3 linked regions of the Yarrowia lipolytica genome follow. The protein of the gene in region 3 interacts with the protein of the main gene of each other region in a pairwise test. Links are inferred from orthologs where the notes say so. Each region holds a gene or a part of one and is shown on either strand. Other genes may lie near its edges.

Region 1 (3,771 bases), on a different chromosome or scaffold from region 3:
AATGGTAATGTCAACTCTTCCTCTACCAAGACCTCTCAGAACACTGGTCTTGTTGCTGTACATACAGCTCAATAACTACTAAGACGAAGAGACTAGAGACCCTCCATGGAACAATCTATACTTCTAGAAGGTAGCTAGAAACTAAAGAAGAGTCCAGTTCTTCAATTGACAAGTCTTTGTGACATACTGCAGTCTCAGAACCGCACCATGTGGTAATTTGGTCCACGCTAAAATTGCTATACGTCCTTGGCCTAGTTATTCGTTCCTATACAAGAACCAGGCTAGCTGTTTCACACACTCTGGGCTAATATTGTCCTCGATATTTGGTTAACCGAAGATTTACTAGATTAACAGTTTACTACATTACGCTGTACCAGTTCTGTACTTGTAGTAAATTCTCTAGCTTATCATGGGCTTGATAGTGGTAAGTGGGGCCAGAAAGAGCTTAGATTACAGCTAAAAGTTCGAATGAGGAATTTTTACAAGACTTGAATGACCAAGAGACCACTCGTGGACCGTATCTTCTGGTTATAGTCTTCTAGTTAGTTCTATTGTGTGCCGCTCTTATCTTCAATCCTGGCTCCAAAGATAGATACGCTAAACATTGTCCAAAGACTGTTAAAAGCACAACAAAGAGAGACATCGATTCGAACAACACCAACGTTCGACTGTGAGTCTTTCTTGGTCTCCTTGTGAACAACATGAAAGTTGCAAATGGCTTGTTAGTAGCAGCTGATCAACCTTTCAACACTGCTAATAACAACCACAGCAAGACGAGCAAAGGAACAACCAGTAGTCCTCGTCTATACCACTCTCTCGGTCAAACACGCTATCCCTTCGACTTCATGCTTATCATATATTCATTATACATACTCGTCCACTCTGCGCTTCCAAACGCATGGGTTAGCGAAAACCGTCTTGCCGGCCAACAGCCTACCAGACCATGGCACACTCACTACAAGCAGATGAGTTTGCTCAATAGGCCCGCTCATTCATTGTATGAATTCGATGAGCCTATTTAGTTCCCAAACTAGTAATGCTCAACTCTCTCATGTTCTGCAGTAGATCCTCCACCTTGGCGTCCAACTGGCCGTTAGCGTATTCCTCTCGACTGCTGGCGTCCAGATACTGCTGCACCTGCGCCAGACGGGTATACGACTCTGTACAGAATCGCAGCTGGATCTTGACGAGAGCCTCGAACGAGGGATCCAGGTAAGGAACCCGCAGGTCGATCAGCTGGGGCAGCTCCTCAATCAGCTGGTTGTTGATCTGAGAGTACATTTCCTTGGCCATCTGCTCTTCCTTCTCTGCCTGAGGAAGACGCGCGGCATCGTTGCTGGGCTTTTCAATCAACTTCTTGGTCTTGTGTCTCAGAGCATCGTAGTCCATCAGCTTGTGGTTTCGCTTTTTGATGGCCTCGTTAATGTCAGTGAAGTAAGCACAAAATCGCGTGATGGGATCCAGCACCGTCTCTCGGTAGGGGCCATCCAGAGCCTTGACGGTCTCGGCATCCAGTTCCTGGACAGCCTGCAAGTAGTACTTGGAAATGCCGTCCCGGGTGCCAGCGTCGCCGTAAAACGCATCAATGGTCTCTGCGATTCGCGTCTGCGACGACGTCATGGCTCGCAGCGAGTCCAGAAAGCCCTTGGCCTCCTTGTTCAGCTTGGTGGACGCCGTCTCCATGGTTCGATATCGACGCTCCTCGGTCTCGAACTCCCGGTCCACCGTCTTCTCCACGTGGCCCGTCTTCATCATCACCGACGTGCCCGCCCGGTTCATCGCCTTTTTGAATCCATTCCAGCTCATGGTAGTGTTGGTTGTTAGTGTCGTGTATGCCGAGTGTAGTGGTGAGTGGTTTGGAGATAAGGTGGGACTGAGTTAATTAGGGTAGGGGTAGCGCAGCATATGAGCGCACTGGACGTGCACTTTTCAGATGCGAAAATGGAGCTTGAGACGTCGATTTTTCCCACTAACGACTCTAAATCACGTGATTAATCACATGACGCAGTTACCTAAGCAAAATCTTTCTCCAATCACAGATTATGACTGGGGATCAACAAGCCAAGGAGTCCATCTGGCTTATGTTCGTAGGGTTAGGGGAATCTAAATTGGTGGCAATTTGAAATGAGTGACAGGAGGAGGAGGTGGAGATTTCGACTTGTTTTTGGGTGAGAGAGTATAATAGTTAGTGTACCATTAAAATATAGTGCATTTTCTGAATCGTCTGGTGGTCTCTGCTTCCTTGGGGCATGTCTGCAGCTCGAGATAACTACCCACCAGCTGACTTTTAGAGTTTGCAGAAGTATTTTTGGGAGGCGTTTTGGGAGTGCTATCTTCTACAGTCAGGAGGATGAAACTAAGGGCTGAGCAATACTGATCTAAGAGTCGCCAAGAAGCAAGTGGGGTTTCGGAGGACGATATGTTGGCTTAGTAATCAATATTGGAACCCATTCCTGGCGACTTTTGTGGTTTCGGTGGTTTCGTGTCTCCAGACAGTCCTGTTACAAGTACAAGTATGAGCGCTCAATGGACTGTGTATAGACTGATTTCGAGATAATTTGTGAGAGAGTTGAAAAGTGATCCATTTCGACATAAATGAGATGAGGGAAACCAAAATGGTCTTAAAAGGTTCTCCTTTAGATTAGATACTTGTACTTTTACTTGTACACGACGCCAGGGATGGTGGAGCCCTTCAAAGGAGCCCTCAAAAACATATACATGCTGTCAAAAGTGGAGAAGATGAAAAGAAGTATAGAGGTACTGTACTAACAAGTTCTAGACAGATTCTAGGTCGACTTTCTCCGTCCCTGACCAATATGACCCGCTTGTACCCTTGGCCTTGCTTGAAACACCTCGGCTCATATTCAACCACTACGACCCAGCTCGGTAAAAACACCCACATCTCCAGTACAAGCCTGCATTATCGGATCATTGGACGTTCATTTACTTAGTCTCGCAACCCCAGATGGTTAGCTCAGCTACTCAAGCCTAGTGCTTCCCCATGTGGCTCTCCAGACCCTTATATTGTACATAACTGTGCTGCCGGGTAGACTGATTGTCTTATGACACTAACACAATGGAGTCACTATTTCAGGCCGTAGGAAATTGGACCCACAGGGCACAGCCTTGTTGACCCCTGAGGTCGTATCTTGGAAACTCATGCCGGTTTGTCTGTCTTGCACCTGCCCCCTGTTCTGCTCATTCTTTTTGAGAGTTCCGGTTTCAGAAGAGCATCACGTGAGTCAATAACAAGCGACCCTGATTCTCCTTTGGGCTCTTCATCGTCACAAAAGGGCTCTAGCGGCTCCCGTTGTCTGTTTCTCTTTATCCCCACAATTGGTAAACTCCACGCTACTTTAGTTGGTCAACTCAGTTCGGCCTATTTTTTTCTGCATATACAAAGTAACTACAACGATGTAGCTTACTTAGTCTGCTGTGAGTAGACATACGGCGGCTAACTAGACTAGGAACGATTTTTAGCACCTGGAGCTCTCATGTGCATTGGAGGACAGGGAGTCACAAGAAAACGTCAGATCAGGTGATCTGTCACATCCCACTAGCTTCCTTTTATATGCATCGCGTGATATATCATTGCGTCCCTGGGTCCAAGTCGTCTCCATATCATGCTACAACCCTGCAATATGTGTATGTGGAGCTGAGTTGTAACAACCAAGGCAGCTAACTCTAGACTGCCTAGACCCACTAAGTGGAGCACTCTAAATAAGTGCGTTTTGCTCCCGCTAAGATTCCCACTATTTCTCACTAGTTTGA
Region 2 (6,672 bases), on a different chromosome or scaffold from region 3:
CCGAATCACATTGCTAAGCGTGAACTTGGTATCTGTGACGGAGTCGAGCGCACCGCCTGCTCCTTCGACTGCCATTTGTGTATTGCTTTCGACGACATCCGCACTTGCAACAAGATATCCCAAACATTTGACGACGGGCCCAGCCCTAGCACACCAAAACTTCTGGAAATGCTTCCCTCAAAAACAACCTTCTTTGTCCAGGGCGTCAATGTCGTCCGCTTCCCAGAGATCTTCAGGGAGCAATACCGCCAGGGCCATCTGTTGGCCAGTCACACCTGGTCTCACCCAAACCTCGCCTCGCTTAGCAATGAAGAGATAGTCGCACAACTACAATGGACTAACTGGGCTATGAACGCCACTGCCGGTATCATCCCACGCTACTTCCGTCCCCCCTATGGCGCTATCGACAACCGTGTACGTGCTATTGTACGGATGCTGGGCATGCAGTCTGTGTTGTGGGACCGAGACACATTTGATTGGAAGGTTAACGCCGGTATTAAGACCTCCCCTGAGGTCGTGGAAGAGGTCCAAGACTGGAAACTGCAGGGTGGAGGCTGGGGTTTGATCCTCGAGCACGATACTACCATCAAGACTGTCAACGTTGGACTTGATGTTGCCAAAGCTCTTGGGCCGAACCAGCTTACCGTTGCCGAGTGCGTGGGTCAGACACAATGGTACCAGGATCCAGCACGGTTGGGTAACGAGCCCCGCCGTGGCCACCGAGCAGCTTCGTACCAAAGGAGTTGACATTGTTGACCCCATTGCTGTATAAAAATAGTGCGTAAGTATGTAAAGCGAATATAGCAATCATTACAATTACAGAGACTACAAGTTCTTGTAGTGAAGATATACCGGTAGATGTTGGCGGATGTCGCTATCACAGGATAATTAAGACACGTTGTCTATTAATTTCTATAGTTGCGGTAATATATTGCATTGTCCCCATCTAACCAATCGCAGCCCAGAATCTTTCTTCCTCTCCATCCTTGAACTCCAGCAAAGTAGACATTACTGGCAGTAAGTTCTGTCTCTGCTCCTTGTGCTCCAGAAATCCGAGCAGCACGTTCTTGATGTACGCAGTGTTAGTAGCAGTAGCAGGAGCGGGAGGTTGTGAAGTGTTAGATGCCACAGAAGATCGTCGTGACTGGGCAGGTGACGTCACATGACGCTGGGAGCTACTGATCTGGTTGCCCTCCAGTCTGTGCTTCTCTGTCTGAAGAGCGATGATGTCCTCGTTGAGAATTTTCTGCTGCTTCTGCAGCTTGTCGTTTCGCTGTTGAGCATCGTCGACGGCCTGCTTCAGACGCAGCACTGTGGCCTCGGATTCGCTGAGACGTCCATCCATGACCTTACGCTCGGTCTGAAGCTTCTGGATGACCCCATTGGCTTCTTCCATATCCTCCTGGGCACTCTTGGACTCCTTATCAGCATACTCTCGAGACGACTTGAGTGCCTGGAGGTCTCTGAGAGCTCGCTCTTTGTCAGCTCGCAGCTCCTCGGCGTCATGTTGAAGCTCTCGAGTCTTCGTTCGGGCCTCCTCAAGCTCACGCTGTCGACGTCTAGACGATTGAGCAGCACTGGCTTCCAGTTGATCCTTCTCGTCAGTGAGAGCTCGAATCTGCTCCTGGAGATCTCGAATCTTGGTCTCACTACCGTCCTCGGTCTCGTTGAGAAGACGTCGCATGGTTGTGGTCTCTCGAGTTCGCTCCTGCAGCAGCTTGTGTGCATCGGAGACTTCATCCTCCAGAGACTCGCAACGAGAAGTTACCTCTCTCATTCGCATAGCAACTTCCTCCAACTGGCTCTTGAGCTCGGTGACCTCACCAAGGGCATGGTCCTTCTGAGCCTCCTTAATCTTGGCCTCGTTGTTGGCCTCAGTCAGCTCCTTCTCAAGAGCAGCCTTTTCTCGGGTCCACTTGGAAATGGACTCGGAAGATGCAGAATGCTCCTTCTCGAGTTGCTCGACACGTGTAGCAAGAGCATCCTTCTCGGCGACAGCATCCTTCTTCTCCTTCTCCAGTCGAGCCTGGGTGGTCTTGAGAGTAGTAATGCGGCTCTCGATCTTGTTGCACCGCAGATCTGCCTCCTTGTACTTCGCCTCCCAGTCGGATGAAGATGCAGTAACAGCAGCAAGATCTTTCTTGAGCTTGGTTTCGGCAGCAACCAACTTCTCAAGCTCAGCAGTCTGCTTAGCCAAAGTGGTCTCGGCGTCCTTGGCAATCTTCAGCTCTGCCTTGACAGATCCTAGCTGCTCCTCCAGCTTTGAAAGCTGCTCCTTGGTGGTGCCGAGCTCCTTGAATCGGTCCTGACTGAGCTTGGCAGAGTGGGCGTGAGAGTCCTCGGCGGCAGAAAGATGCTGCTCAGTGGTCTCGAGCTTCTTCTTCAGCTCCTCAACCTCCTCCTTGACAGTCTTGAGCTCCTCAGTGGTCTTCTCAGCCTCAGCAAGTCTGCTCTTCGTAGTTTTCAGCTCTTTCTTCAAAGATTCAAGTTCCTCGGTCATAGCTTGGGACGAATCCTGGGACTCCTTGGCACTAGCGAGATCCTTCTTGAGAGACTCAATCTCCTTCTTGAGAGTGGCAACCTCATCCTCAAAGGTCTTGCCCTTCGTCAGTGCAGCAGTCAGCTCTTTGTTTGTCTTGTCAAGATCAGCCTTGGCTGATTCCAAAGACTTTGCATCCTCAGAAGACTTTGAAGACTGGGTCTTGAGCTCATCAACCTCCTTTTGAAGCTTAGAATGGGTTTTGTTTCGATCCTCGATCTCCTTCTTGAGCTCAGCTACATCCTTCTGACGCTCCTCAATCTCTTCCTCCTTCTCGGTGAGCTTCTTCTGCACCTTCTCGAGTTCATCCTTGACTTCGCTGTTTTTATTAGACTTCTGAGCCTCGACAAGATCGTTTCCAATCTCCTTGAGCTGGTCCCGTAGACTCTCCACCTCGGACTTTTCATTAGCAAGGTCCTTCTCAAGCTTTTGCTTGGCATCCTCCAGCACCTTGATCTGAGCATTGTTATCGGGTGCAGGGGATCCTCCCTTCTTGCCCTTCTTTCCCTTACCACCAGTGGCACCGGGAGAGGTATTGGCAGCAGCAACAGCAGACGCAGCTGCGGCCTTGACCGTCGCAAGCTCGCTCTCCAGATCCTCCTTGGCCTTGTTAGCTTCACCAAGCTTCTTCTGGAAACCCTCCAGCAGCTTCGATTTGCCTGCCAGATCATTGGAAGTCTTATCAGCATTGGATTTGGCCTCGGCAAGTTCGGTCTTAAGCTTTTCCAGCTCAGCAGAGTTGTCAGGAGTCTTCTCAATCTCAGCCAGCTTCTCCTGGAGCTCAGCATCAGCCTTAGAGGCGGCAGACTTGGCGTCAGCAAGCTCCTTTCGTGCAGTCTCTAGCTCCTCTGACACAGTCTTGGACTTCTCCAGCTGTTCCTTCAAGTTATTGATTTCGCCAAGATGCTTTTCCGATGCAGCCTTGCTTTCGTCCTTGATCTTGTTCAATGTTTTTGTGAGACTCTCAAGTTCGGAGTCCTTGCTGGCTGTAGAGCGGTCAGCTTTGTCTGATGCCTCCTTAGCCTTGTCCTCAGCCGCTTTGACCATCTCCTCGGCGGATTTGATCTTATCTTCGGCCTTCTTGGCCTCACCCTTAGCCTCGTCCAGCTGCTTTTCAAGCTCCTTTACCTTCTCCTCCTGAGCCTTGACATTGTCCAGCTCACCCACCCTGGTCTTGAGGCCATCTAACTTGGTCTGCAGTTCGGCCAATTTTGCATCCTTAAGCTCCAGCTCAGCACGGGTTTCGCTGGTTGTGTCGGTGGCCTTTGATTCTGCCGGCTCAGCCTCCTTTAGCTTGGTGTTCTCAGCTTCCAGATCCTTCAGATCAGATGTGAGTCGAGCCACGTCGCTTTCGAGCTTCTCAATGGTGTCCTGATCCTTTCTCTTGGTGCCGTCGACCTCCTTCTTGAGTGTGTCGACCTTCGTAGACAATGAACGAAGCTCGTTACTCTGCATTTCGCTCTTAAGATTGAGGTTCTCAAGATACTCAACGAGAGCCTGAGGTTCATTGAGACCGGAGCATGGAGTTCGCTCCTGGAGAACACGCTCGAAATCCTCCACCATGCTCTTTACCAGTTCGGACTTCTTCTTCTCCACTCTGTAGGCTTTGAGAAGATCGGGGTACTTGGCCTCATACCGCTGGAACTTTCGCAGGTGAGATTTGACCTTGTCAGGCACCGGAAGAGTGTCAATGATGTACTCTTCTGGCTCCGTTTGCGATACTGGCTCGGCCTCGGTAGCTCCACCTTCGGTGGAGGGAGCTGACGACCCATTGTCATCTAGCTCCATGCGTTCCACGTCTGGAGTCTTGTAGCTCATGAGCTTTTTCTTGCGCTCTTCTGCCTCGTGTTGCTGCGCCGCCACCTGTTGGTTCTGGGCGTTTTTCACGGCGCCATCTAGTTCATCCGTGAACTGTTTAACGCTCTGCTGGATTCTCGAGAACATGACGTGGAGGTATTAGGTTCTACGAGTCGAAGATGTAACGAGTGCATAAAAGTCGATGCACAAGCTACAGAGAGTGCTTGGGAGATGAAGGCGAGCCGAGCCATGAGAGCATCTCAAAAGCAGAGCGGAAATGACGAAAATATGGTCCGTTTGCATTGTATTTTTTGTCAGTCTCAATTGAATATCTGTTTGATTTTTCCTTACCTTTTCACTCCTAGTTATGACATGTCTCACCACCTTCCGTCCCCCCCTGTAAATTAATCAGCTTTTTAGATTATGAGTGGCACAATGTGCTGACAAACGATGCGTGAAATTAGGTTTGTTCATATAGATCAACTCCGCGTTTGTATGACATTCTCGCCACTTTTCATACCGCCCTGATGTCATTTACTGTGAGTAAAAAGCGAACAGAAACCGGAACTGGGAACCTCATCCGACTCTTTTTCCAGTGCTATAAATTTCACTACTAACGCCAGACTACATTTGCTGTCCCTTTGGAATGTGAGTCCTGCTGTGATTCCGTCAAGCAGGCACTTGCAAACGTCCAGGGCATCGAGTCCGTTGACTGCAAGCTCGTGGATCAGCTTATCAGTGTCACTGGAACTTCTGCTCCGTCCCAGATTGTAAAGGCCGTCCAAAACATCGGCAAGGACGCCATTGTTCGAGGCACTGGACAGCCCAACTCGGCAGCCGTCTGCATTCTCGAAAGCCACGCCCCCGAAGACCAGGCCCAACCTATAAAGGGCCTTGCCCGAATCGTCAGTGTCTCCAAGACCCTTGCGCTCATCGATATCACCCTCAACGGTCTTCCCAAGGGCACATACTACCCCAGCATCCGTACCAGTGGAGACATCTCTGATGCGCCTCAGAGTCTAGGAGGCGTATACCAGGCGCTGGGCAGCGTGGAGGTGAACGAGTCTGACAGTGCATCTGGACTCTTTTCCGGCCAAGCATTTGTCAAGTCCGAGACCCAGATCTCCAGTCTTATTGGCCGGGGCATGGCTGTTTCTACAAGCCCAGACGTTGTCAAGCCTCACGCTCTGGTGGGTGTGATTGCACGAAGCGCTGGCGTGTGGGAGAATGATAAGACTGTGTGTTCCTGCAGCGGAAAGACAGTTTGGGAGGAGCGAAAGGACGTCCAGAGTAAGGGACTCGAGGGCCAGCTCTAAGTGTCCCCTTCTATTATTATAATTGATCAATCGCATTTTCAAATTCATTTCATTTATTTGGGAAGCTCAACGCCAGCCTTAGCCAGAACCTCAGAGAGCTTCTTGTCGTGGAAAAGTTCCATGACCTCCTCTCCAGATCCAATGTGCTTGCCCTTGACGAAGACTGATGGGATGGCGTTACTGGAGGTGATCTCGACAAAAGCCTTCTGCAGCTCCACACGGTCCATGGCTTCCTCCTTGTCCAACTCCAGGTAGAAGGGCTCCAACTCGCCCTTGATGGTCTGGAGGCAAGTCTTAATTTCCTCACACGCATCCGACCAAGACAGCGCCACTACCAGCACCTTGTGCTCGTCAATTAGGCGCTGGGCCTTCTCCAGGTACTTCTGGTAGACCTCAATGTAGAGCTCGTCGTCGTGGTTGTCCTTGTTGTTGTTTTTGTGGTGAGTCATTTTAGAAGAAAAGATTGTAACAAGAGTCGGTGATTAGTTTTGAGTGTTATTTGAGTGCGTGGAGGTCGCACCTCCACAGTGTTTCGATTGCTATGCGGCTCATAATTGCTTATGCGGGCGTGATAAGGACAGCCCAAACAAGCATGTACTTGTAGTTAAGGGTTGGTGTTTGTGCTTCGTACTGTAGGCAATGCAAGGCAAAGGGAGGGTGCGCGAGAAAGAGGCCATAAAACGGCAGACTGAAATAACACGAGGTCGACGGAACCGTCCGGCATCGGCGTCTTCAGAAAATTTACACACCTGTCGCCCTCACGTAAATTTCCTAGTTTCCGTATTAAACGTTTCGGACGGGTCTCATGAGCTTAGTGCGCGATTATATGCCAAGCACTGTAACCGTTGTACCAGTGACAGCCCATCAACATGACGTCTCGAAGATCACCTGCTGTGGATAGAAACTGCGTGGAGAAACTCGGGCTTGAACAGCTGCAAGCAAGGTGTTTATTTGTGTCCAACAAGAGTCAAACCACATATATATAAAGGAGTTAGCACTACTGTATTTATATCCAATATG
Region 3 (4,959 bases):
AACGGAACGCTGCTATAGTTTCAGAAGAAGCAGGAACTACTCGTGATGTTGTGGAGATTGGTCTGGATGTGGCTGGATACAAGGTAGTTCTTGGAGACACTGCAGGACTAAGAGGAGGAGAACAAGTAGGCATGGTGGAAAAGGAGGGAATCAAAAGAGCAAGAGAACGGTTCCAGAAAAGTCACATGATTATGGCTGTTCTCCCCGCTGATGGTTGTGACCACAGCAGCGACATCATTGCTGAGCTCAAACAATTGCATGCTGCAGAGAAGCAAATAGTCGTGGCTATCAACAAGACTGACCTGGTTGAGGATCATGTGGTTGAAGCTTTTAAAAACAGACTCATGGAAGAGATCGGTCTGCCTCGCGATTCCATCATTCCGGTCAGTTGTATTGCCAGCTCTGGTCTCGAGACTCTCCTCGCTAAGCTGTCCTCTGAATTCTCCAAAATTACTACAATTGAAGGCTCGGATCCCGTGCTTGCCAGTCAGCGAGTCAAGGACAATCTGATCGCCACAGTAATCCCCGCGTTGGAGACATTCATGGAGTATGATCTAGAAGCCGTTGTCTTTGCCACAGAAGAGCTGAGAATGGCAGCAGAAGGAATCGGTATGATTACTGGCCAGGGTATTGGCATTGAAGAGGTTCTCGGGGCTGTTTTCAGCAAGTTTTGTATTGGAAAGTAACAGACAGTCAAGCTGCGGATTCACTGCTCCAAATGTAAATAGTATATGAATGGATCTTACATCACCCAAACGTGTCTACTAGACATAACCGCCTATAAAAACAATCATACATTTGATTTTTATGTACTTGCCAATGGGCACTTATAGCCACTGACCCCTCCTTTTGTAAGATATCATCATCACATCGTCCCCGGTGGTCACTTCTTACCTGCTTCCCGATCCAAGAACTCAGCAAACTTGCCAAAGAAGCCAACTGCCGGTTGTCTATCCCCCCCTTGTCCACTCAACTGAGTGGAACTACTGCTTTTCTCTAGCTTTCCATCTGTTACGAAAGACGATCTGGAAAGACCAGCCTGGACCTTTTCTTGCTCGTCCCACTCCAGGAAATTGGAGATCAACTGCAGCACCTCGAACTTCTTAGTATCTCCTCTCGATAAAGAGACAAAGGACAGAATGAGGTTGGATACCAGCTGCTTATCGACTGTATCACCCTCTGAGCTCTTCTTGATCATCTGCAGAGCGTTAGTGAGATGCTCATTGAGAATCACAGCCTCGTGTCTCAGCTTTCCGATCAACAGAGACTTGTCCTTGGATTCCTTCTCAAAGTCTGAAGCAGACGCCAGCTTATCCTCCAGCTTCTTGCATTCACTCTTGAGCTCTTCTGTCTCCTTGAGGGCGCTATCCAGATCCTTCCTAAGACTGTCAGACACTGTCTTGTGTTCCAGAATCTGTTTCTCGAGCTCCCCCGAACTGGAAGTTTTCTCATTCTTGAGTTCTTCGACCTGGTCTTCAAGGTCCTTCCTTTCTGCGATATATCTTTGCACCGACTTCTTCAGGGCGGTGAGTTCGTCTTGCAGAACACTGTTTCGGGTCTCCAGATCTGAGTTCACCGTCTTGAGCTCAGAAAGAGCAATCTCATACTTGGAAGACGCACCCTGAGACTTGTTCGCGGTCTCCTGGACGACTAGAATCTCACGTTTCAACAAATCTCGTTCACGTGACAGTCCGTCAATTTCACTCTGGAACTTCTCCCGTGCCTGTTTGAGCTCCTGGTTAAGCTTCTTACTCTCCTGAGACTGCTCAACGAGCTCGTCCTTGAGAAGAGCAACCTTCTCGGACTCCTTTTCAAGCTTTTCACGTGTGTCTGCCAACTCAGCGGCATCCGACTTGAGTCGTTCGCCCAGGGTGGATTTGATTTGTGTGATTCGGTCCAGCAAGCTATCATACTGTTCCGTTTTCGCCTCCAGTTGTTCCTTCAGGGAGGTAATTTCTGTAGAATTGGTAGTACTGGTGTCAGAGTTCGCCAGCTCAAGCTCAGAGACCTTCTTCTGAAGCTTTTCGACTTCGTCAGAGGAAGAATTCGCCAACTCGGCCTCTTGCAACTTCTGTTTAAGCTCAGATACTTCCTTCTCAAGTGATTTCAACGACTCTGTCTTCTTATGAGCCTCTTCGACCTCTTTTTTAGCCTCCGCTAGGTCCTTTTTTAGCCCAGACACTTCCTTATCTCCTCCCTTCTTAGCCTCTTCCAATTGTCCTTGCAGCTTCTTCACCTCCCCCTCAGATTGGGAACTGGACTTTTTATACTCCTCAATCTGCTGCTTCAACTGAGCCACCTGCTCCTCATTGACCTTGTCGTCCCTATCTCCGCTTTCCATCTCTTTCTTCAACTGATCAATTTCAGCCTCCTTGCGCTTCACGGCCACATCTCGCTCCACCTCCAGCCGTTTTGTGGTTGTCGAAAGCTGCTCTTTCAGAGCCGCAACTTGCTCCTCCAGAGAAGATCCGTTGGTCTCAACAGTCTCCTTCTTGGACTCGGTTTCCGGGGTAACAGGGGTCTCCGGAACGTTGGTATCCTCAACAACAACGTCCTCAGCAGCTGCGTTATCAGGAGCCGCTGACGCGGCCTTCTTGTTCTTGTTCTTCTTGCCCATGACTGTAGCCGTGTCTTGCCCTGGCTGCTTCTAGTGTCGAGTATCAAACTGTGATATGTTGTCCTGGTTTGATGTTATTTGATTGATGCACGCTGTACCTCGAAATTTAAAAATACGTGTTAAGATTGGAACTAGTAGCTGACTAATCAGAGGATGAGAGAGGGCTGGAGTGTGCTGAGGAGTGTTAGTCACGTGATACTTGGTAATATAACCAATTATATTGATGCTACGACTCTTCCAAATCAAAACTTATGTTAGTCTGAAAATATCGTCAGTCGAAAATGTCTACCGTGGTCCGAAAATTAGGTTGCAGAGGGAGGAAGGTGGAGACTGAACCAACATACAGAAGCTTTTTTTCTGTTACTTATTAGACTTAATAAAACAGTTGAAAATATTTAATGTTTACTTATCATTTCCTCAGTATCAAATCACACAGTTATATCATCACCCCATCATCCTATCACAAATTTGAATGGCTAAGAGAAGATGTTTTGTCAACGTTCTTTTTCAATCTCTGCTCCTTCACTCTCTAACCTCCTTCGGTCACGTGTTATATCCTCCCCCTAATCTCCAGCCTAAACTGAGTTCATCGTTAGTGAACGTGGAGCATGCACCTGTCAACCTGATCAGGAGAACACGATACTAATCACCAATATTTCGTTGTCTTACACCACAACGTCTTTCACACCACTCTTCTAAAATACCAACGGGCTTACTCACCAATTTATAGCCTCACGTGACTCACCTCTTCTCCACGAAGTCAGCAAGATACACACCCACCTTATTGAACACCATTGGTAGAGCATCGGTTACGACGCCACCGGAGCCCTTGCAATCAAGTGAGCTGCATTATCATCACGTGACATAACCACAGAGTCTCTCACTCACGTGACTGGACTCTCTGGCCGTTATTCCAACACTTTAGTGACTTTTTCGACACAGAAAGCTCCTATTGAGACCTCCACAACAGCATCGGTTTCTCAGATATACTGTCACAGAACAATTGGTCTTGATTTCTGTTCTCTTGCAGCATTTCCGATCGATTTGAAATCTCACAATCACACCAGCTACAGTTCAAGACATTAAGTGCACCATAGCTGATCCCTCACTACCAGAAGTGACCCTCTTCCCGCTTCCCAATCCCCCCACACCCGCATTACCCCCTTTTTCTCATAACCGTCACTCACAAAAATGCCCCGAGCAGAAGCACTAACGCCTCTCTCCCTTCTCAAACAGATTCTCCTTCTACAGACGATATACTACACGATTATCCTCATTCTGGTTGGGTTTTCGTGTTGGGTTTCTGGAGATGCATTCAATTTGGGCCTCATTTTCGATTGGCATTCTGTTCGGTTTGATAATACTATCGGATGGACGATAAGTATGCTGTGGTTGATCGATACCGTGTTTACAGTGTTGGCAATGACAGTCATTGTGGGACGATCCAAGCTTGCTTTGGACTTCACAGTCACCCTGCATGTTATTAACATAATTGTTTCCACTATCTACACCCGTGCCCTGCCTACCAATGGCTTGTGGTGGTTGATCCAGGCTACCTCGACGGTGCTGATGACTATCCTTGGTACTTGGACTAGTCAGTGGAGAGAGCTGCGCAAGACTTTCTTCGAAGAGGGCTACGAGATGGTAAGCAGAAACACCAACCAGCCATCGAACCCTGTCTAATTGTTGGTGCATGCACTCAATTTGTACTGGATGTATTATAGAATGAATAACGATCCATGATCTAGCGCTTGTTAAGATATTGGATGATACTGAATAGATTACGCGTACACAGCAGTAGTGTAGATCGTGGTTGCTATATATCAGTGCACTATACTATACTACAGTCCTCATACAGTGCTGTATCTTACTTGGTCGAGATAGTGCTGATTAGTAAGAGTGTACTGTACTTTTGCTTGTACTGAAGCGAGATCACATATAGTCTAGTGGTAGATATAAAAATTGAAATAAATTAATTGGATGCGTATGCAGATTCTGTTTATGAGCACAGAGTATCATCGTAGGGCTCGTGTTCTCGTATTGGAGCAGGGAGTGAGTATGTAGCTAGTAGGAGTTTCGTAACCGCCGCTTAGTCCATCATGTTAATACAGCAACGACAGAATATTCTCCACTCTGTCTCTCATCTTTTCCACTCCAGCTTCTCCCAGTTCCCTTCTCAGACTGAATTCTGCTGCTGCAAGCACATGCTTGTATACCTGTCTTCCCTCCTCGTCTGTTCTGATTCCTCTGAGTCGCATAGCAGCTTGAACAACCTTTTGTAACGTGACTACAGCTGGTTGGGGAGCCACCGATGACTCGCTCACCAGCTCCTTGAGCATCTT

What was found.
Region 1: the proteins of YALI1_B24252g (region 3) and YALI1_C10860g interact in a two-hybrid assay, tested with the Saccharomyces cerevisiae proteins (2 studies listed by BioGRID). The link is inferred for Yarrowia lipolytica from reciprocal best matches to the Saccharomyces cerevisiae genes RUD3 and RVS161.
Region 2: the proteins of YALI1_B24252g (region 3) and YALI1_F38522g interact in a two-hybrid assay, tested with the Saccharomyces cerevisiae proteins (2 studies listed by BioGRID, with this or other methods). The link is inferred for Yarrowia lipolytica from reciprocal best matches to the Saccharomyces cerevisiae genes RUD3 and IMH1.

Annotation. Positions count from the first base shown.
Region 1 is NC_090772.1:1,084,220-1,087,990, forward strand, and holds YALI1_C10860g (uncharacterized protein), read right to left. Parts: upstream 1,807-3,771; coding exon 1,015-1,806; downstream 1-1,014. UniProt on the Saccharomyces cerevisiae protein: Component of a cytoskeletal structure that is required for the formation of endocytic vesicles at the plasma membrane level.
Region 2 is NC_090775.1:3,847,743-3,854,414, forward strand, and holds YALI1_F38522g (uncharacterized protein), read right to left. Parts: upstream 4,484-6,672; coding exon 947-4,483; downstream 1-946. Other genes in the region: YALI1_F38476g (uncharacterized protein), read left to right, coding at 1-747; YALI1_F38526g (uncharacterized protein), read left to right, coding at 4,864-4,875, 4,960-5,652; YALI1_F38538g (uncharacterized protein), read right to left, coding at 5,706-6,101. UniProt on the Saccharomyces cerevisiae protein: Involved in vesicular transport between an endosomal compartment and the Golgi apparatus.
Region 3 is NC_090771.1:2,422,624-2,427,582, forward strand, and holds YALI1_B24252g (uncharacterized protein), read right to left. Parts: upstream 2,618-4,959; coding exon 884-2,617; downstream 1-883. Other genes in the region: YALI1_B24218g (uncharacterized protein), read left to right, coding at 1-686; YALI1_B24264g (uncharacterized protein), read left to right, coding at 3,809-4,300; YALI1_B24280g (uncharacterized protein), read right to left, coding at 4,720-4,959. UniProt on the Saccharomyces cerevisiae protein: Involved in the structural organization of the cis-Golgi and in vesicle targeting/fusion stages of ER to Golgi transport.